Linked DNA regions of Schizosaccharomyces pombe. The protein of the gene in region 2 interacts with the protein of the main gene of each other region in a pairwise test. Each region holds a gene or a part of one and is shown on either strand. Other genes may lie near its edges.

The links. Proteins that work in one complex are often made in the same cells at the same time.
Region 1: the proteins of skb5 (region 2) and ptc1 interact in a two-hybrid assay, tested with the Schizosaccharomyces pombe proteins (3 studies listed by BioGRID).

Annotation. Positions count from the first base shown.
Region 1 is NC_003421.2:2,002,478-2,006,901, forward strand, and holds ptc1 (serine/threonine protein phosphatase PP2C catalytic subunit Ptc1), read left to right. Parts: upstream 1-2,058; 5' UTR 2,059-2,201; coding exon 2,202-3,245; 3' UTR 3,246-3,915; downstream 3,916-4,424. Other genes in the region: GATA-type transcription factor Ams2, read left to right, coding at 1-1,005; SPOM_SPCC4F11.03C (uncharacterized protein), read right to left, coding at 4,255-4,424. UniProt on the Schizosaccharomyces pombe protein: Serine and threonine phosphatase. Has a specialized role in the heat shock response. May be responsible for the dephosphorylation of hsp90.
Region 2 is NC_003421.2:920,722-924,020, forward strand, and holds skb5 (Shk1 kinase-binding protein 5), read left to right. Parts: upstream 1-1,912; 5' UTR 1,913-2,347; coding exon 2,348-2,770; downstream 2,771-3,299. Other genes in the region: THO complex subunit Tho7, read right to left, coding at 15-165, 222-440, 494-500; EKC/KEOPS complex subunit Cgi121, read left to right, coding at 701-1,225.

The DNA of each region.
Region 1 (4,424 bases), 1.1 Mb from region 2:
AATGCTACGTACATGAACATAACTTTGATGCTTTGTAATGCATGTGGTATATATTGGACGAGTCGGCGCTCGATGCGTCCAAGAAATTTATGGTCTACCTATAAAGCATTTGAAACAGAGAAACCGTTGGAAAATGATGCATTTGCTCAGCTTGAGTTAGCCGTATATAAACTTTCCCAGCAACGAAAACTATCTATATCCATCTTCCGTGAGCTTGAAAATGCAGGACGGCACTCTCCTCTGAATAGACTTACGTCTTTAGACTCAACACACTCTGCACCTGATCCCAATCATATCTCAAAACCCTCTGTTGTTAATCAGCAGAAATCCAGAGGAGGTCCCCGTACTGCTAAGCTGAAAAATGACCTCAGACGCATACAATCATCTCCCATTGTTGCACCTACTCCTGATACATCATTTCGTGAGCCTTTATCCGAAATTGGGTCTAATGATAGTTGGCTGGTATTACCAAATTCACTAAGTGCCAATATACAAAATGATGTTTTAAGAAAAACTGATTTCATGTGTACTGACAAGGAAAACGTCGCTTTTCCTTTGAAAACCACAACAAAGCCTATGCCTAAAGTAAATAAAGAAGAGACAGAGCCAACTCTGCCTGTTTGCGATTCAGAAAAAGAAAATGATGATTTAGAGTGCTATTTCAGAACCCCTCCAAAACCAACTACCTTACAAAAGCAACAACAAAGTCCATCACCCTGGAGGTCAGAGTTATTTTTGTCTGACCCTGACCAAAACGTATTGACACCAAGGCATAAGCCAAAGTTTGATTTATCAAAGGCATTGTCTTCGGTTGCAAAATCCAATAACATTGAGAATTCACCTCAATTACCAGAAAGATATGATTTTTCTTTAGAATTGGGGTTGAATTCTCAACTCGATAATGAAGAAAGACGCGATATTCCTCTGATGACAGATTTGGTGATGCCAAGTAGTCCGCCCATGGTCCCTGCTGACAGGCATTTATCCGTTGAAAACACTTGTTGAAAGAGCGATAAAGGCGTACCTTTGCTTCACACATTACCCTTGTTCTTTAATTTTTTGTTTTATCAAGAAGTCATGTGTGATCAAAATTGACATCTTTCATTATTCGAGTCTTCTTGCTTTTTTATGATTTTTATTTTGATAATGACATCCTTAATTCGTTTTCTTAACCGCAAAAAAATGATTGTTGCTGTTAAAGTCCTTACTGCGTAAGAACTCCCAAGGCATGTCCCCTCAAATCCGTCCTTCGTTCTTTTTATTTCTAAAGCAATTTATTTTATTTTCTTTCATACCATGAGCCGTTATTACCTCCCCCTTGATTATTAAAATATTTCAAGTCGTTGCTTATTGTTGGCGGCATAGCCAAGAGCATGCGACAAGCATTCTATAAATCTTGTCGCAAAATAGAAGTTGGACACTATTTCTTTTAATCTTCTCAAATGTTCTTCGACTTCATCTTTGAGGCTCGGTTTATGGAAATTTTGGATACTTCGTGATAGTTCTGTCTGTTTTGCTTATACAAACAAATTATAATTTCATTAATTGTATTATGAAAGCCGATATGGACAAAGCCACATCCTTATTTTACATACGGAAAAAGTTACTTTTAATTATTTATATGAACACTGTTATTCTTGTTAGCATGTTTATGTTGCGAAACGTTTCTAATTGATTATTATGGGTAGACCGGATAATTGATATTTAGCAAATTCACTAGACGAACACATGACAAATTTTTTTCAGTAATGCGAACCAAAGTCACGCGAAAGCAAGTGTAAAAGTCGAAGGATTTCAATACATGGTTCAATATTTTTGTCTAGAATAAATCAAACGTTTAGTTCATATATTCAAAACAACAGCTTATTGCTGCTTACTATTTCTAATTTTCTAATAGCCTTTTGTTAGCATTTTTGTATTATAATGTAGTTCAATGCAGAGCGGATAACGGTTTAGTGGAAGTTAACCTAGTACGTAAAAATGATTTCCGAAGATCTCGGTATACCACGCGTGACGTAAATGCCCGAGTTTATTAGCACTGACTGACTTAACAAGTTTATACTTACGCAGAAACCCAAGGAAAATCGGTGTTTCTCGTATATACTATACAATCAGCAATTTTATACCTGATATTATAATTGAAGGTATTTAGTTAATTTGAAAAGCAATTTTTTTGTCGGTACTGAAGTGTTTGAACGAATATGAAGGGAAGCCATCCAAATGCAGGTTCCCTGTTGGAACCACTTCACAAGTTGAACCCATTTTCTGAAAATTCTACAAGTGGACATCGAAAAAACGCTAGTGATCATTCGGCGGATGGAGAAACTCGACCGATTGCAATTGAGATGAAGGATAGTAAAGGCAACACAGTCCCAGTTGGTAACTCGCGCCCTAGTAAAGCCTCTAACTGGCTTGCTGGACTGATGGAGGATAAAAACCAAAGATGGCGTAGGTCTATGGAGGATACTCATATTTGCTTGTATGATTTTGGGGGTAATCAGGACGACGGCTTCGTTGCCGTTTATGACGGACATGCTGGCATTCAAGCATCTGACTACTGTCAGAAGAATCTTCACAAGGTACTTTTGGAAAAGGTTAGGAATGAGCCGGACCGGCTGGTCACAGACCTAATGGACGAAACATTTGTCGAGGTCAACAGCAAAATTGCAAAGGCTACTCACAATGACATTTGCGGTTGTACCGCTGCAGTTGCTTTCTTTAGATATGAGAAAAACCGCACCCGCCGTGTTCTCTACACAGCTAATGCAGGTGATGCACGTATCGTATTATGCCGTGATGGTAAGGCTATTCGACTTTCTTACGATCACAAGGGATCCGATGCCAATGAGTCTCGTCGTGTGACCCAGTTGGGTGGTCTCATGGTACAAAACCGAATTAATGGCGTTCTTGCTGTCACAAGGGCCTTAGGTGATACCTATCTTAAGGAATTGGTCAGTGCGCATCCCTTCACCACTGAAACCCGAATCTGGAACGGTCATGATGAGTTCTTCATTATCGCTTGTGATGGCTTGTGGGATGTAGTATCGGATCAGGAAGCTGTCGACTTTGTTCGCAATTTCGTAAGCCCTCGCGAAGCCGCTGTTCGCCTGGTAGAATTTGCATTAAAACGTCTTAGTACAGACAATATCACTTGTATTGTAGTTAACTTGACTCGCAATCCCGGTGATCTCGATGATTCAGGACTTACCGCTGATAATGATTCATACAGTAATGACTATTATTAGGTATTTGATGGATTCAATGATGTGCTTTCTGTTGTTTCGTAACGGTTTTTCGATGTCTTTACCTCATCCACAGTACTTGTTTGGAAGCCGGAATGACTTAATCCTATTTTTTTGTTTACCAAGCACTGTAATTGCATCGATTCTTTTCCTTTATTTATGGACCTTGTATTCTCATTTGGACATGGTTTTCCTTTGGGTCGACTTATTTTTTCTAATTAATTACTCTTCTTTTTATAAACCACTTTGTGCATGTTTCTCTTGTTCTTCTTTTTTGTCTAAAAGTAATGTGTCTAAATATCGATCCTAAATCTGTCCAAATCTAGTTTCTTTTTTCTTTTTTCATGATTTGCTACCTTTTCCTCCAATCTGCGTGCCACTGTTCGAATCAATCGTATATTCATCATTAGCCCTCTTCATACCCATTTAAAGGTACAAACATTTCACTCTTTTTAAGGTTCTTCGTGAGTGTTTTCGGTATTTTTATTTACAATTGCTTCGCAAATATTATGAATGTACTTGCGTGCATGCATTGGTGTTTATAACAAAGGCTATACGTTCACCAAAAAAAATTTATTTTACCCTTTTATCGTCTTTAATTTTCGATTTAAAAGTCGAATTATAATTATTATTCTGAAGTTACGGGTTGTCTTTATTTTGTCCCGTTCCTGCTAAAATACCATTTGCACGTAAAAATATATATACATACACTAATTGTACCAAGTATTCGAGATTTTAGCATTGGCCTAAACATAGGAAAAAGACAACGCTTTTCTACTTACTGTCTCAACTCTAGTTTTCATACATAAAGGTGCAGAGCAATACAATCAAATGATACTCACCGGATAAAGACATGCAATTGTTTTTTATAATTACCGTTTATAGGTTTTTTGTTGAATGATCTGGAAATGAATGACTATAGTAATAGATAATAATACATGAAAAAAACATTGACAAATTGAAACAACCACGTTAAACCGATCATACATAGCTGAACTGAAGTCAACTCAACTCATTTTGTCATGGTGAAGTCAAAGTTCTCACCAAACAAGTCATTTATGCTTTCAGTGGTTGGAATGTCTGTAGGAAGATTTAGAGCGTTGTCAAACGTATTAGTTAAATGCGAAGCAAAGCTGCCATCATTACCGAACGCAGCACTGTAGTTTTCTTGTGCTTGCAAGT
Region 2 (3,299 bases):
ATCTGGAAACTTACTCTTGTTGTTCTGTTCTTGATCTCAATCCTTTTGACATTATTGGCTTGGCCAACTCGTCGTATTGTTCACGCTTTCTTAATTCTTCTTGGGCAACTAGTAAATCTTGCTCAAGCTGGCTTATTTCGGTTTTTTCTGCTTCACAAAATGTTTCTGAAAATATTAATAAAAACATCACTGTACTTAAAGTTACGAATTTAATCACATACGAGTCTTCTTCAGTTCTCCTTCGTAAACATCCACTTCTTTAGCATTCATGTCTAATTGCATTTGCAATCGAAGCCAAAAAGCAGAGAGAGCAGAAAATTCAATTTCTAAATCCCTTAAGTTTGCTTCGTCTACATTTTGAGCAGCAAAACCAAGACACCGACTAATCAACCGTTTCAAAGGCCGTTCTTCCACAGTTAAGCGCGATCGAATCGCCGTCTCTGACATATCGGTTAACTTAATATTTTCAAAAAAAAAATTATTTATAGCATACCCTCCATAATGAATTGAGTAAAAAAAAAGCAAATTCACTATACAATTTAGTTGGGCGCTAAGTCAGTAGCTGGAGTGTTCGGAGTTTTAGTCACCGTATTTTACCGATGTTTACCGGCAAAAAGTTATTAGTACGATTATTACCTAAGAAATGTAAAAACGCTAACAAGGATTGCAGTTTGATATTGCTATAGAACAGGCGGGCAAAATGATTTTACCTCTTTTTCCAGAGACACAAGTTCATGTTTTTGTATATGAAAATGTTTCTAACTGTGCTGCGATTCATGAACAACTAATAAGCCAGAATCCCATTTATGACTATGCGTTTCTCGATGCCGCTACTATTCTATATAAAAAGCAGGTTTATAGCGCTATTATTAGGGCTCTCGAAGATAGAAGGGACGAACAAATGAAAACTAAGACGATTCACTCAGAGGTTATTTTGTCATTGTCCCCAAAAACCGAAATTTCTAGTGCGTTCCGACAATTCAGCATGACAAAAAAATCTAAAAACATTGTAGTGGTAAAAATTGATAGCAAACTTACAGAAGAAGAAGAATTTGAGCGCTTGGACAAACTTGTGGAAGGTAATAGGGTCGAATTTTCTGACGAAGAGTTACAAAAATTAATAGACTTCAAGGTGTTAAAAAAGAATTACAAATTGGATCCCTCTACGCTTGAGAATCCTTTGGCCTCTATATTATCTTCGATAGCTCTACGTGGTTATTCTTAAAAACATATGTTCTAGCAAATCTGATCTTTTGTCAATGTTTCACAATTGATTTGACTATTTTTCTATGCGGCTTGAATGATAATGATGAGAGTTCCAAATGGAACGTTGTGTGGATTCTTCTATTCCTTATAATTTTTTCCTCTCTCAAATGACTGTACAAACTATTTAGCAAGCACCTACATAATCAATTTTTGATTTACGAATTGGTAAAGGATGGCACGTAAAGTTATGCCCTCTGGTTTGGTTCAGTTTTATGATCTCTTGACAGTTTTACTAAAGTAACTAAGGGCATTTCATTACGATTATCTGTTTCGATACTTTTACCTAGGGAATGCTTTAGTGTTATTTGACATCATGTTTTGTTCTTGTGCAATATTTTTTGCTCAGGTCTATTGGCGATGAATTACTATATGGTGGATCTCAGTGCAAAAAGTTTACCATTATGTGAATAGTTATTAAAAGTTTAATGGGATTATAAATTAATGGGTTTTTTATTGCGCACCTTATGCTCCTGTTATAAAGAAAAGCAGGTCGCAAAGGTAAGAACTATTTTTATACAACAATAAAGGTTTTTACATCGTATGTTTTACAATTAACTGGCAGCTCTTTGTCAAAATTGTTTATTTACGGATTTAACTTGCCTTCTTGCGGTATTGACTGCTAAGCCGGAATTTGTGATATCAAGCCATCCGTTTCCCAGTCACGCGAAAACTCTTCCTTATGGAAATTTCATTTTAACAAGTACAAATCTGTTAAAACTACATTCATATAATCATATGCAGGCAGCCGATTAGAGAAAAACTAAATTTCTTAGGCAGAATTGTCATTATCCGTCAATACCGCGTTTTTTTTATTTTCCGCTTTGATTTTTTTTATCATTCTTTTTGGTTCTTTTATTTTTGTTTTTATTTGTTTTGTTTTCTTTTTTTCCTTTTCAAAAGTCATTTGAAGACAAAAACTCAACGTTGAAGAGAGCATTTGTTCATCTGTTGACTTTTCGCCAATACACCTGTTTTTTTATGGACTTGCTAAGTATAGTGTAAATTTAACGCTGTCGTTGATCCGTATGATTTCTTTTGATTAATTTAAATCGTTATATGTGACACTAGCAATTTTTGCTTCATGGCGGAAGAGACTGAAGAGGATTATTTAGTTGTGGGTCGTGATTACTTGTACCCCCCAGATCATGAACTGCACTATGGGTTTCATGCTCGTGTGATTGAAGAGGAGGAGGAGCGATTTGTAGATGATACCTTTGATGAAACAATCGAAGGATCGGATGACTCCGAATCAATAGATGATACGGAAGTATTTTACGATGCTGAAGAATCTGAAAGCACTCACCCTTCTGCTTCTTTCAACGTCCTTGCTGACGCCGTTGCGCTTTATGATTTCGAGCCCCTCCATGATAATGAACTCGGTTTTACTACTGGTCAGAGACTTTGTATTTTGTCGGAATCCAGCGATGGTTGGTTGATTGCATACGATGATGCCTCAGGAAGAAGCGGGCTTGTTCCTGAGACGTTTGTTAAATTAGAGGTATAAAAGAGCGTTGAATTGAACCCTTTTTACTTTTTCTTTTTGTCAAATTGATTTTAAAATGTTATTCCTTATTTTATGTTCCAAGATTTTCTGGATCCTCTCCTTTATATATAAGAATCCGAAGTGTTACGGGAAAAAAATTCGGATTGTCACGCTTCTTATGAATATTATTTAAATGTACGCCTTTAAAGCAACTATCATACAATTCTCCTTTGGGTAAATAACTAACCTTGGGATGTGTCGTAACTTGGGACTTATTTTTGATTTGTTATAAGGATGAAATGAATGTTCTATCTTATGGACCTTACAAGAAAAACTATAATATTGTCAAATATAATCATATGAGATGAGTTAAGCTACATAAAACTCTTTGAAACTTTATTTTATATTATTGCAACCTTCTAATAACTTTACATCTTCTTATCCAAAGAAGAAGGGTTAGAATGTACCGTGTTTTACGGAAGTTCCATTCCCGTAGGGTTACAATGTGTTGCTAGAATAAACCGTAAGTCATAGTACATATAGAGGCCAA